Linked DNA regions of Sus scrofa. The protein of the gene in region 1 purifies or fractionates together with the protein of each later gene. This does not show direct contact. Links are inferred from orthologs where the notes say so. Each region holds a gene or a part of one and is shown in the gene's direction. Other genes may lie near its edges.

What was found.
Region 2: the proteins of PNMA2 (region 1) and PKN2 purify together in Homo sapiens (affinity purification with mass spectrometry; 3 studies listed by BioGRID and IntAct, with this or other methods). This does not show direct contact. The link is inferred for Sus scrofa from reciprocal best matches to the Homo sapiens genes PNMA2 and PKN2.
Region 3: the proteins of PNMA2 (region 1) and MARK4 purify together in Homo sapiens (co-immunoprecipitation; 3 studies listed by BioGRID and IntAct, with this or other methods). This does not show direct contact. The link is inferred for Sus scrofa from reciprocal best matches to the Homo sapiens genes PNMA2 and MARK4.
Region 4: the proteins of PNMA2 (region 1) and RECQL4 purify together in Homo sapiens (affinity purification with mass spectrometry; 3 studies listed by BioGRID and IntAct, with this or other methods). This does not show direct contact. The link is inferred for Sus scrofa from reciprocal best matches to the Homo sapiens genes PNMA2 and RECQL4.

Annotation. Positions count from the first base shown.
Region 1 is NC_010456.5:10,424,975-10,430,600, reverse strand, and holds the start of PNMA2 (paraneoplastic antigen Ma2), read left to right. Parts: upstream 1-2,211; 5' UTR 2,212-2,351; intron 2,352-3,086; exon of another isoform or gene 3,087-3,235; intron 3,236-4,321; exon of another isoform or gene 4,322-4,523; intron 4,524-5,143; 5' UTR 5,144-5,274; exon of another isoform or gene 5,275-5,505; 5' UTR 5,506-5,626. Other genes in the region: DPYSL2 (dihydropyrimidinase-related protein 2), read right to left, coding at 1,499-1,852.
Region 2 is NC_010446.5:127,600,807-127,605,986, reverse strand, and holds part of PKN2 (serine/threonine-protein kinase N2), read left to right. Parts: intron 1-611; coding exon 612-786; intron 787-1,015; coding exon 1,016-1,142; intron 1,143-2,464; coding exon 2,465-2,595; intron 2,596-2,678; coding exon 2,679-2,754; intron 2,755-2,832; coding exon 2,833-2,924; intron 2,925-5,180. UniProt on the Homo sapiens protein: PKC-related serine/threonine-protein kinase and Rho/Rac effector protein that participates in specific signal transduction responses in the cell.
Region 3 is NC_010448.4:51,681,929-51,687,108, forward strand, and holds part of MARK4 (MAP/microtubule affinity-regulating kinase 4), read left to right. Parts: intron 1-2,256; coding exon 2,257-2,376; intron 2,377-2,797; coding exon 2,798-2,897; intron 2,898-4,278; coding exon 4,279-4,388; intron 4,389-4,493; coding exon 4,494-4,653; intron 4,654-5,180. UniProt on the Homo sapiens protein: Serine/threonine-protein kinase. Phosphorylates the microtubule-associated protein MAPT/TAU. Also phosphorylates the microtubule-associated proteins MAP2 and MAP4.
Region 4 is NC_010446.5:289,103-294,705, forward strand, and holds the end of RECQL4 (ATP-dependent DNA helicase Q4), read left to right. Parts: coding exon 1-81; intron 82-156; coding exon 157-283; intron 284-387; coding exon 388-495; intron 496-602; coding exon 603-734; intron 735-819; coding exon 820-912; intron 913-991; coding exon 992-1,128; intron 1,129-1,504; coding exon 1,505-1,588; intron 1,589-1,671; coding exon 1,672-1,851; intron 1,852-1,924; coding exon 1,925-2,104; intron 2,105-2,174; coding exon 2,175-2,289; intron 2,290-2,399; coding exon 2,400-2,662; intron 2,663-2,740; coding exon 2,741-3,011; intron 3,012-3,085; coding exon 3,086-3,215; intron 3,216-3,293; coding exon 3,294-3,451; intron 3,452-3,526; coding exon 3,527-3,707; intron 3,708-3,787; coding exon 3,788-3,938; intron 3,939-4,044; coding exon of another isoform or gene 4,045-4,067; coding exon 4,068-4,176; intron 4,177-4,258; coding exon 4,259-4,383; 3' UTR 4,384-4,526; downstream 4,527-5,603. Other genes in the region: MFSD3 (major facilitator superfamily domain-containing protein 3), read right to left, coding at 4,646-4,819, 4,893-5,008, 5,074-5,198, 5,286-5,433. UniProt on the Homo sapiens protein: An ATP-dependent DNA helicase which unwinds dsDNA with a 3'-overhang in a 3'-5' direction. Does not unwind more than 18 bp of dsDNA. May modulate chromosome segregation. The N-terminal domain (residues 1-54) binds DNA Y-shaped DNA better than ss- or dsDNA.

The DNA of each region.
Region 1 (5,626 bases):
ATTTGTTGTCATTTGCAAATGGCAGCAAATGGTTTCTCTCCCTTAGAATTGGTCCTATAAAAGTCAAAAGCTGCAAAACTCTGTGCCACATCAAGAAACAATAACTCTGTTCAGACCAAGATTTTCTACCCTTAGTTGTTTTCTGATGGGTTCACTGTAAGCATACGACTTGAATGCTGAATAAATGCTTGTTATCGCTCAGTGGATATGTAGAGACCACTTCCAGTTCCTCTGGAAGACCCTTCAGGAGAAATCACCTTGAACTTGTTATAGCTAACCTTGACCCTACCCAGAAAAGCAAGGCACATAATAGGTAACAAATAATCAATCATTGACTGATTTCTCATCTTCAGCAATCAATGGGCATGGAAGAAAACCAGCAAACAAGTGTTGAAACCTTTCACACTGTAATTTCTCAGTTGAGAATTTAAGGCTGTGGGGGAAAATCTGCACAAGTATGAAGGTCACCCTGATAAAGAAAAAACGTGCGAGAAGACTATTACACCTAAAATGCACACCGTACATATTTGCCAGAGATGATAAACATATTCTGAAATCAGGTTTACCAAATGGTTGTCTTTGTTTCCCCATTAACACTATAGGGAATCTAATCCATCTATGAAAGTGCATTCAAAATGTGAGAGGCTTTCCCTTTTCTTTTCTTTTTACCCGTTGAATATAATCCACTTAGTCCCCATCTCCAAAGCCCCTCCCAAATAGTGGCGGAGGTTGAAGGGAGCGCTCTGGGAAGCCCTTGCTGAGATACTTAGCGGAACTCTGTTCTCCACGTGGGCTATTTAGGAGGGTCGCGGTTTCCTCGCGTGACACCACCTCCTCCCTGGTTCTTCTCTCGCTGCAAACAGAAGTCAGGGTGACGAGATAGATTCTCGCTTGCAGTCCGAGGAGGCGCTGACCATGGTCCTGGCCTCCGAGCTCGGGATGCGAGAGCGGAGGACGACAGAGGGGATGCGCTGGAAGTGTACGCAGGGCGCGGCGGGGAGCTGTCGTCTAGGCCCCCGCCCCTCCCGACCCCCGGGGAACCCGCCGGCCTTCACGCGAACCCTCCACTGCACGCTCTGAGCTGCATCAAAAAAGGGTGGGGCAGCCAGACACAGCTGCAATCGGAAGCTGCCCGGGAGGATTTAAGAAGAATGGAACCTCGGCCCATCCCCTCCCCCTCCAACCAAGAGACCCCCCAGCCGGGGATAGGCCCATCCTTTACCCCTACCCCCACCACCCAGGCCCAGGGAAGCGCGGGGAGCCTTTGTGGGCGCACAGCCGCCCACCGCCCAGCCCGAGCTTCTCCGAACCCTGCACGGAGAAGGGGCGGGTAGGGTGGGGTGCTTGTGCACATGCAGGGAAGCGATATTCGAGGTGGGGCAGGACGGTGGGCACGCTGGGATCCTCGGCTTTTCACCGAGCTGGAAGGGGCGCGAGGGAGGGGCGAGCCCCACGCTCCGTCCTGTCTCGAACACCTCCGCCCCTCCTCCATACCAACCTGGTCGTTGATGTTCTGCAGGGCTTCCTTACCGGAGGCCCGCCGGATCTCCACCTTCCGGCCCGATTCAACAGATGGCTCCCCGCCGGCGCGCCGACCCTGCCGGGAGTACGGCGGCTGCGGGTCCGGGCCCAAGTGGGCGACGTCCCGCTGCTGAGCCACCACCTGCCCCGAGCCCCGGCCCACCGACAGCGAGTCGAAGTCGATGGTCTTGTTCTCCGAGGACCCTTCCACCGGGCAGAACATGCCACAGAATTTCTGTCGAGGCTTGGGGCTACCGGAGCCCAGGTTTTTAAAAAAGGCAGGGACCTCTTCGTCCTCTGCCGCCTTCCCGGATTGCTTCCTCTCTGCCATGGCTTGGGGGCTTGGGGAGTGTCCTCTCTGTCCGTTCTTTCCTCAGCGGGTCCCTAAGTCTGCCTGTCTCTGTGCAAAAATCCCCCCCGGCTGCTGCCTCGGCTGCTGCTCTCTGCCTACCGCAAGGTGTACAGAAAGGAACGAGGGCTGGCGAGCGAGCGACCCACCCCTCCCGGTCCCTCCCCCTGACCCCGCTTTCTCCCCTCCCTGCCCACGCCCCCCGCAGCCTCGCGAGCTCCCGCGAGCGGCAAAGTTGGGGTTGGGAGGGTGGCCGCTGCGGCAGCAAGAACCGAGAGGCTGCCAGTTACCAGCAGCGGCGGGAGGTGGGGGGAGGCGCGGGCGGGGCGGGGGCGGGGCGCGGCGCTGGGGAGGGGAGCTCAGCGCTGGGGAAGCTGGGGAGGGCCGCGCCGCCCAGACCCCACGCTCCGGAAGTGAAGCGGCCAGACCCCCGGCTAATGGATGCGGAGCAGAAAGCCCGCTGACCGCTCTCGGCCCCAGGGTAAGTATGGGGCAGGGCACGCTGGGGCGAAGATCCGAGGGCGCCATCCCAGGCCCCCGCTCCCCTCTCCCCGAACTGCCCGGCCCAGGCACCTCTCTCCCACCGCAATGCAGAGCTGGCCCAGGGGCGAGGGCCCACTGTGTGGAGGGTTCCCTCCCCCTTACCCGAGTGCGAGCTAATGGATAGGAAAAGGGGCAGAAACTGGTAGACTCAGGACACTCAGCGGGAAGGTAAGGGGCGGCACTCAGGACGGAGAAAGGATGGCGCAGGCTGCGCAGAGTGGTGGGGGCCATATAGGGCGCGGTCTATCCATTGGCCTTGGTGGGCTACTGGGAGCAGAGATTGAAACAAGTTCCTCATTTACTATACCCACTGTGGTGGGGGGCGCGCAGCGTGGCGGAGAGAAATGCAGAGAGGCATAGCAAATGCGGAGGAAGTCGGTATATATAGAGAGAGACATAGGTCCACGGTCTGTGGGAGTGTAGCAAAGAGTGTAGTCTGCAAATTCCAGCCCAGCGCGGCAACTTGGATGTATAGTGAGAGAGGGAGCAGACCGCTACACTGGCGCGCCGTATACCGTAATTGCGCCACAGCGCCAAGAAAAGCCCAGCAGAATGCATCTTCCCCCGCCCCCAACCCGGCAAAGAAGGGAGAAAGACATTCTTTGAAGCCCACTCCCCAAATCTCCAGCCCTACCCAGCGCCCAGGGCGCCCCGCCTCATTTCCCCGCCCTGCTGCGCACTGCGCCAGAACCACGGGGTTTCCTAGGTTGCCAGAAGCCTCGTGCCTGAGGCCTTCTTGCGCGCGCGGCCAGTGCAGGGTAAGGAGATGGGGTGCCAGCTGTGATGAGTGAAGAACTGTGTGAAATCCAGCAGGAGAATGAGGTATGGGGACATGGTGTGCATGCGCCAGTAGACTAGCCACAGCCACCACCGGTTTAGTGGGCATCCAGAGGGCATTTTAATGTATGCCAGTAACACAGTCTCTGAGGGCTCTTTATTACTTACACCTATCCCTCTGTCCTTTCCACGTCTCAGTCCCTGCCCATGATTGATTACAGCCCTGCCTTTCTCTCTTCAGTGGCAAAATCCTGCAGAAATGATGCCCATCCTTTGGCTGCTGGAGAAGGAGCTCTGGGCATGCTCACTAAGCTGGGTGGGTTGGACTGGAAAACACTCTACCATAGGAGTGTCGTTGCTGGGCAGAGTAACCAAAGATCCGATCCCATTGTCATCCCTCACCCCTGGAAGGGTTAAATGTGGATACCCTGCCTCTCCCAATTGTGATGGATAGTTTGGTAAATGGAGTTAAATTCTGAGGACAACCAGTCCCAGTTTGAAGATAAGCCCACCATGATAGGTGGGAAGGCATCTGGGGATGAGAAGGAGAGGAGGAGGGAGGAGAGAGGAATTTACATGTGCAGGGGATGAGAGAACCAGAGGCAGGCATTTGGACTGAGCACCAGATGTGCTTCACATTTGAATAAAATGCTTCCACACGAATCACGCCATTTCCTACTGCCAGCAGCCCCCTGAGATGAGTGTTTCATTGTCACCACTTCCCAGGATTCCAGGGTAGAAAACAGATGTAGAGGCTTTGCCCAAGGTAACTGTCTAGTTAAATGATCCAGCAATTCCAGTGAGGTCTTCCACCTGGAAGTCTGGTTCCTTTTTGACCTTATCCTGTCTTTATAGGAGAAAGGACAAGATTTTCACATTTTCCCCTATATTCAAATATTTCCATCTGTGGCTTTATTGTGTGTCAGGAATGTTTCACTCGCCTTTTATTTTTATTTTTTATTTTTTTTAACTTGAAGGTAGGTTGCATTGCAGGTAGAGACTGGTTTTGGAAGAAGAAGACACCCAAAGATAGCCTAACTTCAGCATGACCATTATTATGTAGACCTTAGAGCTGTTTCTTCCTGGGTACCCAGTGTCTTTTTCCACCTTATGTTTCCTCTATTGCAACAGGGAGGAAGGTCACTCCCACGTCTTAGAAGAGGAACAGGAGGCATGATGAAGTCCCTGGGTTCAGATCCCTGGGGCTGCAGGGCAAGGACGTGATCCAGCATTTTGCCCTTCTGACCCTCTGGCACATGCCCCACTTTCAGCACCTTCCAGAAGGACTCAGGAAATGTGCCTGCAGCAAGAACAGCTGCCACTGTAGCTGCAGGTTGGCATCTGTGGCATATGGACCCCATTTGGAGTGATGGAGATTTTTAGGGAAAAAATAGTTGTGGCACCTTAACACACACTCCACGATGCATGACAGCAACGGGATGATAGACAGTCTTCCCTTTTTACATTATTCAGTCTCCACCGGCTCACCACAGATGTGCCTCCTCGATTTTTCTTTGTCCTCAAATCACCCATTCAAGTTCAGATGCTATGAAGAAAGCATCATGTTACTAATGAAACATTTATAGCAAGAAAGGCCCCTACTTGTGCATTTTCAAAACCTGACCAGGCATAACCATAGGGAATTCATAATTCCAAGTTTAACTTATTTGGTTCTACAAGTTTTTTCTAATTGTTAAACCTATATTAAATTTTACCTATAATGTTATATTAAAGTGTATTATATGTTATATTTTATACCTGTGTTCAGTTGGTTTTAAATGTTTGAGTGATTTCTGATTGGATTTTTTAATCAAAGAAATGAAGCAACTCACTATTGTTTAGTAGATTTAATTAAATTGTGAAGGATTGCCATGTTTTGGAAAAAGTGTATTAACAGTCTTCACTTTGGATATCATTAGGTCATAAAATTACACTACAATTATATTTATACAGGACAGCGTGGCTTGGCTGGCGCTGAGAAACACCCAGACATGCCGTTGTGTGGCATGGAGTGACATCTTGTGCTAGAAGCTGAATACATAAGCTCCTTGGCTGTCATGGGATGATTTGAAACACATAAACAGGTATCTGGCCACATCTCCTGATGTCATTCTGCATGTGGGAAAGATCTTCCTGTCCACAACTAGGGCTCCATTAATCTGCATGCCTGGTGAGCATAGGGTGGGAAAGCCAGCTTGCAGGAAAGTCCCCAAGAGAACAACAACAAAAAAATCACTATAAGCAAAGAAGAGGTCTGACTCAAATACAGTGTGGGGCAGAATCCCTGGTTTACCCTCACTTCTGTCCCTAACCAGGTACAGGTGCTTCCTGGGAAGGAGAAAGCTGTGTGGTAAAACTGGCCATTGTTTCCCCAAGAGCCCAAGCCACGCTGCTGGGAGACTTCCCTCCAGGAGTTCTGGGTGCCTGAGTGGAGGC
Region 2 (5,180 bases), on another chromosome or scaffold:
CCCAGACATCATATTGATTCGTTTGTAAATGTCACAGTTAGTATCACTAAAAGAGAAGCATTTTTTTCCTAAACCTTTTTTTTTTTTTTTTTTTTTTTTTTGGCCTTTTGGCCTTTTATAGGGCCGCTCCCTTGGCATATGGAGATTCCCAGGCTAGGGGTCAATCGGAGCTGTAGCTGCCGGCCTACACCACAGCCACAGCCACGCCAGATCCGAGCCGCGTCCGCGACCTACAGCACAGCTCACAGCAACGCCGGATCCTTAACCCACTGAGCAAGGCCAGGGATCAAACACGCAACCTCATGGTTCTCAGTCGGATTCCTTAACCACTGAGCCACAGTGGGAACTCCTTTTTTTCTAAACCTTAACCATATATCATTACTAGATAGATGTGTAAAAAAAGAAGTGGTTCCTATCTATTTATTTTCAAAACCGATAGTGCTATTTTGCACTAGCCTTTAATAACAAATAGTTAAGAACTATTTTTTAAGTGACAAATTTTGTTTATTCTTCATAAATTATAACTGATGAATATGAATTTTTAAATTATGGCTTTTGGTAACATATTAAAGAATTACTTGTTCTGTTTCCTTTATTTACAATATCCACAGGCAAAACATTTCTCAGAGCTCCTCAAATGAATATTAATATTGCCACTTGGGGAAGGCTAGTGAGAAGAGCTATTCCTACAGTAAATCATTCTGGCACCTTCAGCCCCCAAGCCCCCGTGCCTGCTGCAGTGCCAGTGGTTGATGTGCGCCTTCCTGAGCTAGCACCTCCAGCTACGTATGTGTCTTAAGATTTTTAAGCACTGCTTTTATAAAATAGTTATTGTGATATTTGTATATACTGATTACTTTAAGTCTATTAAAGATCTCATTTTTTCCAAATAGTGTTTTGAAGTCAGTGTTCTGCTTCCTTTTAAAGCAGTAAAATGGTTTGCTTTAAATTTAAAGCTGTTTAAAATACATACTTTTGATTACTGCCTTCGGTGAATTGCTTTATCTTTTCTAAGTGATTCCGCAGTAACCAAATTGGACTTTGATCTCGAACCCGTACCTCCTCCGGCCCCACCACGTGATTCTTCCCTCGGAGAAGTAGATGAAGCTGCTGAATTAAGAGATCTGGATACACCAGGACAGGCAAGGCTTTTTTTTTTTTTTTTTTTTCCTTCTTCTCACTTTTTAGGGCCACACCTGCAGTATGTGGAGGTTCCCAGGCTAGGGGTTGAATCAGAGCTACAGCTGCCATCGTACGCCCCAGCCACAGCAATGCAGGATCCGAGCTGCGTTTGTGACCTACACCACAGCCCATGGCAACACTGGATCCTTAACCCACTGAGCAAGGCCAGGGATCGAACCCACACCTCCTGGTTACTAGTTGGATTCATTTCTGCTGCACCACAACGGGAACTCCAGGCAAGACATCTTAAACCTATATAATTCCTTTTCACCTAATGAATTAGCCAGTAAAAGCATCATAGTCAATAAGAGGTGCATTTCAGTTAAAAATAGCTGTGTGGACTGTTTTTTATGATTCTTGTGAGGGAAACATAAAAACCTCTGGATGCTCGTGAGCCAGTTGGGGTGGAATAGGCCACCTAACCTGGGAGCATGGGAATAGGAATAGGCTGCCTGACCCGGGAGCGGACCGCGGCTGATAGTGAACGAATCACTGCATCTTCTAACTAGATTAACATGGTTTCTGAAAATGCGTTGACGATAACAGTAATATGGAAATATGGTTGATTTACAACATTGTGTTCTGGTGTGCAGCATAGCGATTCAGTATTTTTGCAGAGATCTGTTCCGTCGTAGGAGATTTCAAGATGACGTGCTCTAAAATACATCCGTGTCGCTTACCTGTTTTATGTAGTAGTTTGTATCTGTTAATCCCATTCCCCCTAATTTGCTCCTCCCTCTTGGTTCTCCCTCTAGTCACCATAAATCTGTTTCCTAAATCTGAGTCTGTTCTGTTTCTGTTTCATATTTAGATTCCATGTGTAAGTGCTATCATATAGTATTTCTTTCTCTGTCCAGTTTATTTCACTAAGCATAATATTTTCTAGGTCCATCCATGTTGCTGCAATTGGCAGTATTTCATTCTTTTTTATGGCAGAATAATATTCTGTGTGTCTTGGGGAGGGGGCACATCTTCTTAAACCCACGGCCTCTTGATGGGCACTAGGCTTGCTTCCACGTGCTGGCTGTTGTAAATAGTGCTGCTGCACATTGGGGTTCGTTAAGCTTTTTGAATTAGTGTTTTCGTTCTTTCCAATGTATTTTTTTTTTACATTTTTTAAGTAAAAGTAGTATAGAATTAGTAACGACAAAAATGAATATCTAATATCTGAACTTTATTTTGTGATATTTATATTTACTTTTAACTTTTTAAAAACTATCCTTACCTAGTAAGTTGTTTCCTGAATGTTTCTGTGATTTATTGCGTGTTTAATGTTTTGCAGGATTCAGAAACTCTTTTTGATACTGAGAATGACAGAAATAGTATCCTTCCAAAGTCTCAGTCTGAATATGAACCTGATATTCCTCAGTCGGGCTTAGAATATAGTGGTATTCATGAACTTGAGGACAGAAGGTAAAGGCCATATACCCAGTGCTGTGGCTGCATGTTTGGTCCCATATTTGCGCCTTGTTTTTAATTGACATTACTGTTTTCAGATCTCAACAGATGTTCCAGTTTAATCTACAAGACTTCAGATGTTGTGCTGTCTTGGGTAGAGGACATTTTGGAAAGGTAATCTTTTAAATTTTCTTGGAATGCCTACAAAAGTAATAACTCAAATGAGAAATAACTATTTTAATCTCATTTCAGGTGCTTTTGGCTGAATATAAACACACAAACGAAATGTTTGCTATAAAAGCCTTAAAGAAAGGAGACATTGTGGCTCGAGATGAAGTAGACAGGTTAGTTTTTAAAACATGAAATTGTTTATTTTTCCAAGGTTGCAACTTAATGTCATGAAAATCGTGTATATATTGCAACAAAAAGTTTATTTTCATGATACAGTGGACAGTTGAGCAACATGGGTTCTTTTTTTTTCCCCTTGTTTTGGCCACCCTATGGCATACAGAATTCCCGAGCCAGGGATTAGATCTGAGCCTCAGCTGTGACCTACACTTCAGCTACAGCAATAGTCAGATCCTTTAACCCACTGAGTCAGGCCGGGGATCGAACCTGCATCTTGACACCGATGACCCTGGTACACCACACTGGGAACCCCACAACGTGGGTTTCAGCTGCATGGATCCACTTAAATGTGAATATTTTCTTGCCTTTTTTTTTTTTTTTTTTTTTTTTTGGCCTCTCCCATAGCATGTGGAAGTTCCTGGGCCAGGGATCAAACCCATGCCACAGCAGGGATCTGAGCTGCTGCAGTGGTATCTTGAGATCCTGAACCTGCTGAGCCACAAGAAAACTCTGAAACATGGTATTTTTCCGTAGTACATGGTCTGTGGTTGGTTGATCCACAGATAGGAAGAACTGCAGATACAGAGGGCCACCTATAAATTATGCATGGGTTAATTCCCATGCTCTTCAGGGATCAGCTGTGATAAGTAAAGAAACTAAATAAATTAATGCATAATTAAATACTGTTTTTCTTTCTAGCCAACTCCTTCTTCCCCTTCTTATGGCAGTTTGCTCATGAGTGACACCAGGGAAAGATGATGAAATGTTTAAACTAATTCTGATAAGGTTTTATACTTGGAAATGTTTATGTGGAATAGGAACTGTTGGACATCTGTGGTTAGGTGAAGCCATTTCCCATTTCATATTACAGAAGTAATGAGATGCCATGTTCAAATAATCTTCCGTTAGCTGCATGGCTAATTTATTCTGCTTTTTAAAATGTACCTGGCACATGTTTGATCCCTGGACCAAGAAATTCCACATGCTGTGGGAGCAGCCCTCCCCCGCTCCAAAATGTAAATACACCCATAGGAGCTCCCTGGTGGCTCCGCAGGTTAAGAACCTGGTGTTGTCAGTGCTGTGGTTCGTGTCACTGCTGTGGCATGGGTTCAGCCCCTGGCCCAGAAATGTCCTTGTGCCACAGGTGCAGCCAAAAATATAAAATAAAATAATAAAATGCACCTATATCTATTTTTCCTCTCTTTTCCTTAAAGTGATGTTTTTTGACTAAAGCATCTGACCATTCTGGGTATAAATTGATGGGGATACATTTCATGGACAGCTATTAAAATGTCAGTACTTTGCGGGTTATGTTTTACTTAGGTTAGAGAATATACCTTAAAAAGGCCGGCATGAAATGGAATGGTTATACGTGGAAATTATTACATAACCAGTGGCATATTTATTACAGAAAGAGGCTTTCATTTGCTATTTAGAAGTAGCAGTGTTTTTCTTAAACCACTGGGAAGTATCGGTAAATATTAATGGAAGACAGCCCTGTGTAATGAAAACAACTTGGGACAACAAGTGAAAAGATTTCTCTATCCTGATTGTTGCTTTTTAATTGATATTTGACCCAAGCATGATTCATTAAATGTCTTTGGACCTCAGTTAGCCCACATATTTTTAAAAGACATGTTTTTGTAATAGTTTCCTTACCAAATTGTCTTAAGTGCCATGTAGGTATATCAAATTACTACTTTTAATGTTTTTTCCCTGATACGGAGAGTCCTTAGAATTAGGCTAGATTGGGAGTTCCCCTTGTGGCTCAGTAGTTAACGAACCCGACTAAGATCCATGATGTTGCAGGTTCGATCCCTGGCCTTGCTCAGTGGGTTGAGGATCTGGCATTGCTATGAGCTGTGGTGTAAGTCATAGATGCAGCTTGGATCTGGCATTGCTGTGGCTCTGCTGTAGGCCGACGGCTACAGCTCCGATTAGACCCCTAGCCTAGGAACCTCCATATGCCTCGGAAGCAGCCCTAGAAAAGGCAAAAAGACACACACACACACACAAAAGAAGAATGTCCAGATCAGAGGATGAAGCTTTAGCCAGCACCTCAGACATTGCCTCTACTTAAAATTAATCAGCCTTGGTGAACAGTTGATAAGAGATCTTTATCTAATTTCAGTTGTAAGTCTACGTGTGTTCAGTCACATGGATATAAAATAATCTCTAGTAGAACCAGAAAAACAGAGAAATGTAAAATAAATACAATAAAACTCACTCTTGAAGGAATTTGAAGAAAACAG
Region 3 (5,180 bases), on another chromosome or scaffold:
GAGACGAGCAGCTGGGGACAGATCCCTGCTCTGTCATGTCCTTACTGAGTGACCTCAGACAGGCCCCTTCCTGAACTTCTGTTTCCCCGCACATAAGATGGGGACACATACAGCCAGACCGCATGCGTAAGGCCCTTCCCTGGGACCTGGCAGTTGGCCAGGGTGTCACCCTCGGGAGCTGCTCTGGGTGGTGGTGTCAGTGGCCTGGGGGTGCCTCTCACCGTCACGTGGAGCGGGGGTGCCACAGTGCAGACTGCCTCTGAGCCCTGGCCCTGCGCCTTCCTGGCTGCACAGCCTCAGAGCAAGTGATATAACCTCTCTGGGCCTCAGTTTCTTTGTCTGGAAAATAGGCACCTGCTTCACAGCATCCTTGTAAACCTAGTATAAAGCGCTTAGAGTTCTGCCCACACCAGCCGAGTACCGTGGAAGCAATACTCATCACTATTAAATATTCACCACGCTGCGGGCTGTGATGACCTGCAGAGGGAGGCTCCCCAGGCATAGGCTTCATCCAGCCCTTTTAGGAGAAGGCCCTCAGAGGGAGCTCCTTCCCAGCCCAGGCCCCCGCAGGGGACTCCGCCCAAGAAACACATCCCTCCTTTCACGCCCTCTGCGTATCTCCCTCCTTCCCCTCCTCCTCCCTCCTTTTCCTCCCTGCTCTTTCTTTCTTTCCTTCTTTCCCTCTCTTCTTTCTCTCTCACCTTCCTCCCTCCCTTCCTTCTCTCCTTTTTTGGCCATGCATGTGGCATGCGGAAATTCCAGGGCCAGGGATCGAACCTGAGCCACAGCAGTGATAATGCCAGATCCTTAACCCACTGCACTGACTGGGGAACTCCACACCCCCTTATTCAGGATGGAGGGGCTCTCCCTGGTCTGCCATGCCGTGGAGCATGGAATTTATTTTTTCTTTCATAGTTTTGGCCCTTAAAAAAAGGTCAATAGGAGTTCCCGTTATGGTGCAGTGGTTAATGAATCCGACTAGGAACCATGAGCAGTTTCGATCCCTGGCCTTGTTCAGTGGGTTAAGGATCTGGCATTGCCGTGAGCTGTGGTGTAGGTCACAGACTCGGCTCGGATCCCAAGTTGCTGTGGCTGTGGTGTAGGCCAGTGGCTACAGTTCTGATTAGACCCCTAGCCTGGGAACCTCCATATGCTGCAGGTGCGGCCCTAGAAAAGGCAAAAAGACCAAAAAAAAAAAAAAAAAAAAAAAAAAAAAAAGGAGCCCATGGTGGCTCACCCCTGAGGTTAAGAACCTGACATAGTGTCCATGAGGATGCGAGTTTGATCCCTGACCTCCCTCAGTGGTTTGGGATCTGGCGTTGCTGTGGCTGTGGTGGAGGCCGGCAGCAACAGCTCTGATTCGACCCCTAGCCTAGGAACCTCCATATACCACAGGTGCGGCCCTAAAAAGAAAAAAAAGTCAACATAAATCAGTGCTCTTGGAGTTCCCATCGTGGCTCCGTGGTAACAAACCTGATTCGTATCCATGAGGGCGTGGGCTCAATCCCTGGCCTCACTCAGATGGTTAAGGATCCAGCGTTGCCGTGAGCTGTGGTGTAGGGTGCAGGCACAGCTCAGATGCTGCGTGGCTGTGGCTGTGGATGGCAGCTGCAGCTCTGATTTGACCCCTAGCCTAGGAACCTCCATATGCCGCAGGTGCGGCCCTAAAAAGGCAGAATATATATGTATATATATATGTATCAGTGCTCATTCTTTGAGACTGCTGGGGCAGGGAGCTTTTTTGGAAAACCAGGCTTAGGATGGGGGCCGGGGCAGGGCTCCCCTCTCTCCTCCCGTTTTGTAAACCCAATATTTAAAAGGCACTTGCTCTGCACGTGACTGGTGCTTGGCATTAACTTCTACAAACTCACTCGTGCCTGGGAAGCTGGTGCTGTGGTCCCAGTTTATAGACACGGAAACTAAGGCCCCAGAGGCTGACCCGCCCGGCCACCTGCTCTCTTATCTGGCTTATGGAATTCACTTGCTCTATAAGATGTCCTCAGAGTGAAAAGTTCTATTACTTTAAAAAATTTCTTTTAACTAAAAAAAAATTTTTTTTTGAAAACTACTGCATCTAGTACAACATTCCCATTTCACAGATGGAAACTGAGGTCAAGAGAAAGTGGTGAGGTTTCCCCCACACGTTGGGGCTGGGACCTGGAGCTCCTGTCACTTCTGTTGGGGGATCAGGAGAAAGGTGTGTGTAGTGAGTGAGGAGGCCGGGTGGACCTGCCCCCAGTAACCCCATCCCCCCAGGAGCTGCGGGAGCGAGTCCTCAGAGGGAAGTACCGGGTCCCTTTCTACATGTCAACAGACTGTGAGAGCATCCTGCGGAGATTTTTGGTGCTGAATCCAGCTAAACGCTGTACTCTGGAGGTGAGCTGAGCCCCGACCCCTCCATCGCAGCTGTCCTGCCAGACCCTAACCCTGCTGGGGGCTGATCTGCTGTCAGAAGGGGAGGGGAGACAGGCAGCCCCGGGAAAAGGCTCCCAGACCCGTCCCGGTGCTGCCCCCCCCAAGCCTCGCCCACTCCCCGACATGCCCGTAATTAGCTAATGAGCTGCTAGGAAGATTACAGGGCGCCGGCACCCAGATGATGCGGAGGAGGAAGGGCGGCTTCGGGAGGCTCCGGCTGGGGGTAGGGTGGGGCTCGGAGGTGCCCGCTTTCAAGGAGCCTTGGATTCTGGGGTGCTGTGCCTTGGAGGCAGGCAGCAGGGTGGGGTGGGGAGCTCACTTTTCTCCCGGGCCTTCTGACATCTCTCTTTGTCCATCTCTGGCCGGCTCCCAATTCCTGCAGCAAATCATGAAAGACAAGTGGATCAACATCGGCTACGAGGGCGAGGAGCTGAAGCCATACACGGAGCCTGAGGAGGACTTCGGGGACACCAAACGAATTGGTGAGGGTCACGCAGAGCGGAGCCACAGGCCTCAGAGCTGGGGCAGGGGGAGCTTCCCAGCACTTACCGCTTTGCTTAGTGCCTGGAGAAGTTTGCGAGGCCCTTAGGGAGAGCAGAGAAGTCTGGGCTCCGAGTCCTGCCCCGCTACTTTCTAGCTGTGTGACCCTGGCCCAGTGGCTTCCCCTCTCTGTGCTTCTGTTGCCTCATCTGGAAGAGGGGATAGTCAGAAAACTTTGCTTCATAGGTTTGTTATGCATGTTAAGTGAATGAGTTTACATAAAGCAATTTACGTAGTTATATTAGTCAGGTAACCAGTGCTGTGTGGTATGTTAGCTTTGACCGCTAAGACAGAAGAAATCACAGATTACTTTTGTCCAAGAAGAGCTTGGACAAAACCGTCAGTAACCTGCATGTTTGAGGAAAACTGCTATTTCGGCACGTGCCTCACCCACCACCTCTTTGGTCCCAATCCCCTCAGCCTGGAGCCGTCCAACACTTGACCCCTAACACAGTAGCCCTGGAAGAACCGTTAGGAACCTTCCAGTTGCCTTCCTTGTACAGATGAGGAGACCGAGGACACCGTTATCTGGCCGTGTTCATCAGGACTTTCATGGTTGCCAGTAACAGAAATGCCAAGTCATTCGGGCCTAAGCTGGATAGTAATAGGTTAAACCATATGAAATTGCCATTCTTATAGCTCAAAAATGGTCAAAACCAGCAATTTCATAAGGTTTAACCTAATAGTGATGTTATTCATTCTCATAACTGAAAAGGCCAGGGTATATCAGCCTTCAGGCATAGCTGGTTCCAGGTGCTCAGAAACATTTGTTGGGTATCTTCTCAGTGGTTACTTCTTTCCCAGGAGCAAGCTGGCAACAGCATGTCCTGGTGGCCTGGATAACCCCCTTCAACAGGAGAAGCCACTTTCCTAATGTTCCAGAAGAAGCCCTTGGTGGTGCCCATTGGCTATCCCTGAACCAATCAGTTTGACCTTGGGGACGGGACACTCTGATTGGCCAGAAGTGGGTCATATGCCCACTCTGAAGCAATCAGTGTGGCTTTGGGTGTGGAGCATTCTGATTGGCCAGACTTGGGTCATAGGCCTCCCCCAAACCAATCACTTTGGTCTTGGGGATGGAACACTCTGATTGGCCAGACCTGGACTCTATATATATGCCTTCCCTTGGGGCTTGGAGCAGGCAGGAGTCAGCCAGATCTGAGCAGGGGAGGAATGTTCTTCCAAGGAAAATCAGGGTGCTGCCGGCAGAAGGGGGGCGTAGATACTGGACAGGCAAAGAGCAGGCATTAGTACGAGATGCGGAAACAAGTGGAAAGGAAGGATATGGGGAGACTGAACCTCCTCTCCATCCCCATCTCCCAGAGGTGATGGTGGGTATGGGCTACACGCGGGAAGAAATCAAAGAGGCCTTGACCAGCCAGAAGTACAACGAAGTGACCGCCACCTACCTCCTGCTGGGCAGGAAGACTGAGGTCAGAAGGCGTCAGGGACCTGCGGGACGCGCGATGCCCAGGGTGGAGGGACTTCTGGGCCAGAGGGGTCGGGGCTGAGGTTCCTTGTCTGTCATCTTCATGCAGGAGGGTGGGGACCGGGGCGCCCCGGGGCTGGCCCTGGCACGGGTGCGGGCGCCCAGCGACACCACCAATGGAACAAGCTCCAGCAAAGGCACCAGCCACAGCAAAGGGCAGCGGAGCTCCTCCTCCACCTACCACCGCCAGCGCAGGCACAGCGACTTCTGTGAGTATGGTCCCCACGCGCTCACCTGCCGTCCCTGGGCCCGAGGCCTCAGACCGTCAGGATTCTCTGGGCAGCAAGGCACAGAGACCTGCTCAGGCCACCTGCAGCGAAGGGAGGAATGTTCTGTAAAGGTGCAGGGATAGTGTATGAAACTTGGGGCACCCGGGCTCAGGAATGCGTTAGAAACTGGAAAAGCCGGAGTTCCCGTCATGGCTGGAAAAGCAGATGAATGCGGAGCGGACACTCTGTGTCTGGCTTCTCGGCTTGTCCGGTTGCTTTCTTTCTTACGTAACTCACCGTATCTCCTTCCCAGGCCCTTACGACTCGTTTTAGAGACCAGCTCAATTCGTAACTGAGATCTTCCTGGTCCACTTGCTATCAGGGTCCAGTTGGTATTAATCCATTTGACTAGGACACAAGAGGACACGTATTTGTACAAAACGGCTGCTGAGAGCCTGCCCTCTGGCCTGTCCTCCACACTTCCTAGTGGGAAGGGGCTGGGCAGACACCTGATTGTACCCCCCATT
Region 4 (5,603 bases), on another chromosome or scaffold:
GGGAACTATGTGCGGCTCAACATGAAGCAGAAGCGTTATGTGCGGGGCCTGGCCCCACGTAGCAGGCTCCTCCGCAGGCAGGTAAGGAGGTGGTGCCAGGTGTTCCCTCTTACTCATCCTACTTCTCGGTTTGTGACTCTCTTGTGTCCCTGCCAGGTGTGGAAGCAGAAGTGGCAGAAGAAAGGAGAGTCTTTTGGGGGTGGTCAACCCAGGGCCACAGCCAAGGATTCCTGCTTCCGGTGTGGGCAGCTCGGTCACTGGGCATCCCAGTGCCCTCAACCAGGTGAGGCCTCTGCCTTGGGTGGTTGCTTGAGCCCACACTGCTTGGAAGGGGAGGCAGTTCTGTCTCCAGCAAAAAGCCCTACTAACTCCCTACCTCTGGTCCAGAGCCTGCCCCTCAGAAGGAGGGTGGCAAGGATGAGGATGACACAGGGACTCTGCCCATGTTAGAGGAAGTACCCCAGAGAACGGGCACCACCTGCTGCCAACTTCCTGGTGCGTGAAGGAGCGGACAAGAGGTTGGAGCAAGTGGCCTCCTTTCCGGGATGAGCCCAGACCAGCCTGGAGCTTTTGTGCTACCCTGTCCTGTCTGCTCTTGGCAGGTGAGGAAGACACAGAGCCTGCAGGGCCTGAGCTGTCAGTGCCCATGCAGTCATCTATGCCCAGGGCGCCCTGTCCACCACCTCCTCCCGTGCCCCCACTCTACCCGCTGGGACCGTCAGGGCAGGTGGCAGGTGAGTAGCCACCTACCATCCCAGTGCCTTTACTGAGGAGGTGGGGGCGTCTCGGGGCCATACCGCCTGACACCTGTGCCTGCAGACACCCCAGCCGAGGTGTTCCAGGCCCTGGAGCAGCTGGGGCACCAAGCCTTCAACCCTGGACAGGAGCACGTGGTCATGCGGATCCTGTCTGGTCAGTTTGGTTGGCAGGGGGCTGTGGTGGGGCCAAGGCCGGCCACAGGGTGGCACTATTGACCCTCAGAAACATCCAGGTATGTCAACACTGCTGGTGCTGCCCACAGGGGGTGGCAAGTCTCTGTGCTACCAGCTCCCTGCGCTGCTCTACTCCCGGAGAAGCCCTTGCCTCACGTTGGTCATCTCTCCCCTCATGTCACTCATGGATGACCAGGTGGGTGGACAGGGCCCCTGGGCACATGCAGAAGGTGAGAATGGGTAGCCACCGCTCCGTCAACCTACTTGGGCTGTTGGTTCTTGCTCTGCCCCACCCAGCGCTGCAGAGAGCCTGGCTGTTCACAGCCCCAGGCCCCCCAACAGGAGGAACGGCACTGGGGGAATGACACCCCCCCCCCACTACCTGTCTATTCCTGGTGCTCCTGCATCAGGCCCGCAGGTGGCTCTGAACCCTGAGTCGTGGGACCCAGGATCTAGGTTTCTTCTCCTCAGAGGGCCCGAAGTTGAGAGAGCAGTGGTTGGCAGGCCAAACCATCCTAAGAGTTGTGTGGGGAAGGGCCAGGGTGGGTGGCATCATGCTCCTGTATCTGCAGGTGTCTGGCCTGCCCCCAGGCCTGAAGGCGGCCTGCATCCACTCAGGGATGTCGAAGAAGCAGCGGAACTCTGCCCTGCAGAAGGTAAGGGGGCCTAAGGGCCAGATGGGCAGAGGGAGCAGTCCCCTGGAGGCCCTGTGCAGTTGTCCTGACCTTGCCACCCTCAGGCTCGATCAGCCCAGGTACAAGTGCTGATGCTGTCGCCAGAGGCGCTGGCTGGGGCAGGAGCAGCGGGGCTTGCCTTCCTCACCCAGCTGCCCCCGGTTGCTTTCGCCTGCATCGATGAGGCCCACTGCCTCTCTCAGTGGTCTCACAACTTCCGGCCCTGCTACCTGCGAGTCTGCAAGGTAAGCCTTGAGGGGACCGGTGAGTGGGCCAGGGAAGGTGGGGTGGTTGTCCTTACCACCCGCCTCCACGCAGGTGTTACGGGAACGCGTGGGTGTCAGCTGCTTCCTGGGTCTCACGGCCACGGCCACGCGCAGCACTGCCCTCGACGTGGCTCAGCACCTGGGTGTGGCTGAAGAGTCTGTCCTCAGGGGGCAAGGCACCATCCCTGCCAACCTGCACCTCTCTGTGTCCATGGACAGGGACCCAGACCAGGTAAGTGGGTACAGGGGCCCAGCCAAGGTCCTGCTGCCTGGCTGCAGAGACAGACCGTGCTCTCTCGCAGGCTCTGGTGACACTGCTGCAGAGTGACCGTTTCTGTGCCCTGGACTCTATCATCATCTACTGCAACAGGCGAGAGGACACCGAGCGTGTCGCTGCCCTGCTGCGCACCTGCTTGCGTGAGACCTGGGCCCTGGGACCCGGAGGTTGGGGTAGCGGGGCAGGGCTGTGCCCCACAAGACCGCTGTAGGCACGCTCCCCACCTGACCATCTGTGCCTCTCCCTGCAGGCTGGGCCCCAGAGGCCGTGGCTGAAGCCTACCATGCAGGCATGTGCAGCCGGGAGAGGCGGCGGGTGCAGCGGGCCTTCATGGAGGGCCGGCTACGGGTGGTGGTGGCCACGGTTGCCTTCGGGATGGGGCTGGACCGGCCAGACGTGCGGGCCGTGCTTCATCTGGGGCTGCCCCCAAGCTTCGAGAGCTACGTGCAGGCTGTGGGCCGGGCTGGGCGCGACGGGCAGCCCGCACACTGCCACCTCTTCCTGAGGCCCCAGGTGAGCATCCACCCGCTGGAGCTGCCCAGCGCCCCCCCCTACTGCAGCCCTTCGTTCACGGTGGCTGCTCTGCTGCAGGCTGAGGACCTGTGGGAGCTGCGCAGACATGTGCACGCCGACGCCATCGACTTCCTCGCCGTGAAGAAGCTGGTGCAGCACGTGTTCCCTGCTTGCGGCCACGCTCAGCAGCCCCTGGTGCCTGAGCCAGGCGAGAGCCAGGAGAGCTCGGCGGCCACAGTCCCCTGGGATGCCGACCACCCCCACGTGGAGCTCACAGCCCGGTGCCCGGGCCACGAGCGGGCACTCCCAGTGCAGCCAATGGTGCAGGCCCTGGATGTGCCCGAGGAGGGTGAGAAACAGGGGCCGTGTGTGGCCGGGGCGTCCCCATGTCCCCACGTCCCCTGAGCCCTGCTCTGCCCCTAGCCATTGAGACCCTGCTCTGCTACCTGGAGCTGCACCCACAGCGCTGGCTGAAGCTGCTGGAACCCACCTATGCCCGCTGCCACCTGCGCTGCCCTGGGGGCCCCACCCAGCTCCAGGCCCTGGCCCGCAGGTGACTACACTTCCCCCTGGGCTGGGGACAGGGACCAAGGACCAGGCTTCCGATCACATGCCCCCTTCCCTGGCTCAGGTGTCCTCCCCTGGCTGCGTGCTTAGCCCAGCAGAGCCCTGAGAACACAGCTTCTGTGGAGTTCGATGTGGTGGAGCTGGCAGACTCCATGGGCTGGGAGCTGGCCCCCGTGCGGCGGGCCCTCCGGCAGCTACAGTGGGACCCGGAGCCCAGGACAGGTGCGCCTGCCCCCCAGCCCTGCTTGCGGTGGGCTTACCTGCCCACCTGCCCATGTCTAACACCCTGTCTGGCAGGTCTGCCTCGGGGCACGGGGGTGCTAGTGGATTTCAAGGTGCTAGCCTTCCACCTGCGCTCCCCCGGGGACCTGACCGCCCAGGAGAAGGATCAGATCTGTGACTTCCTACATGGACGCGTGCAGGCCCGAGAGCGAGAAGCCCTGGCCCGCCTGCACCACACCTACTGGGCTTTTCACAGGTGCTGGAGGAGGTGGGCGGGGCCTGGGCCACCCCACCCACCCCCAGGTGGGCAGACCTAACTAGCCCATGCCACCCCAGCGTGGCCTTCCCCAGCTGTGGGCCGTGCCTGGAGCAGCCCGATGAGGAACGCAGTGGCAGGCTCAAGGCCCTGCTCCGCCGCTACTTTGAGGAAGAGGAAGCAGGTCCAGAGGGCATGGACCAGCAGGGCCCCGAGCCAGGCCAGGCCACGGTGAGTGCCAGGATCTCCAGGGAAGGTCAGGCCGTGGCAGGCATGAGCGTGCGTGCACTGTGCGCACACGGGTACACACTCACTCCCTGCCCTGTGCCGCGGCAAGACTGATGTGTCCCCCACGGGCAGCTCCAGGACTGGGAGGCTCAGATCCGACGGGACATCCGCCACCTGCTGTCCTCGTGGCCTGAGCAGCAGTTCTCAGGCAGGGCTGTAGCCCGCGTCTTCCACGGCATTGGTGAGGACCTGGGAGGCACAGCCTGGAGAAAGGCAGGGGCTGGCAGCCAGAGTCCCCAGGGCCACATCTCTGTCCACCGCAGGGAGTCCCCGCTATCCAGCCCAGGTGTACGGGCGGGACCGGCGCTTCTGGAGAAAATACCTGCACCTGAACTTCCACGCCCTGATGCACCTGGCCACAGAGGAGATCCTGCTGTGGGGCCGCTGAGTGGCCTGCTGGGGGGACCGTGTCAGCACAGCAGAGATGAGGCATCGGCGGCCAGAACACTGTGTAGCCCCTCTGGACAAAGCCTACTGCCGGGGCGCGGGGGCAAGGAGGCCTTAAAGCAGAATAAAAGATGCTCACGTCTTTTTTAGGGACCTTCCTTCCAGTGGGGACAACCCCACAGTCTGAGGACAACCAAGCACATCTCAGTCCAGACACAGGCCTCGGGTCCACTCCACTTTATTGACAAGGCCAGCCACCCGGCTCAGGCCAGCGTGCTGGGTGCAAGGCCTAGGCACAGCATGGGTGTGGCTGAGAGAGCGAGGAAGAGGAAGAAGCAGAAGCGCAGCCCCAGGCTGTCAGCCAAGGCTCCGGCCAGCGCGCCCACCAGCAGCTTCCCCAGCAGCTCCAGAGTGGCCAGGAGGCTGTAGTGTGTGGCCTGGAGATTTGTGGAGATCAGTCAGGACCTGCTTGGACTCCAGTCCCGTGGCCCGAATGTCCCAGCCACGTACCCTCACCTGCAGGGCACTGGGTGCCAACTGGCTGCAGCGCATCATCAGGGTGAAGGTGGTGGTTGTGACCAGGCCTCCCAGGAAGTGCTGCAGACACAGGCTCAGCAAGGCTGCCCCTGGGGGTGCTGAGGTCAGCAGGGCTCAGGATTCTAGGCTCCTCCCCCCATGGACAACCTCTCACCTCTCAGGACTGTGCCAGGGCCCACCCTGGCCCCAGGGGCATCCAGATGAAAAACCAAGACAGTCTGGCAGGCCAGGCCCCCAAGACGGAACCGAAGCAGTGACCTCAACAGGGGCAGTGGCTGCCTGGGGTGGGGAGACTGGGTAGGTCAGAGGGGGTGGGGAAGGTAGGGGTGGGGGGGTGGCAGGCAGGGCAAGCTGAGGGGGACGCACCGGTGCCTGGCCAGCAGGGCGCCACCCAGAGATGAGCCCACAATGGAACAGACCACAGCGCCCACGCCATTCCACAGCCCCAGCTCTGGGGTAGAGACGCCACAGTCCAACAGGAGGAGTGGGAACAGGCTGCTGGTGCCCTGCTCACCTGCAAAGAGAAAATCAGCAGGGGCAGCCTGCTTCCCTCTCCATTGTGCTTCCCCAACCCTGCTTCTGCCTCAGGCTACAGGTGCCAGAAGCTGGGGCTGGGCATTGGCTGAGCTCAGGGTCAGCAGGGAGTAGAGAGGCTTTGGCAGGGGGCAGTGTGGCTGGAGCTCA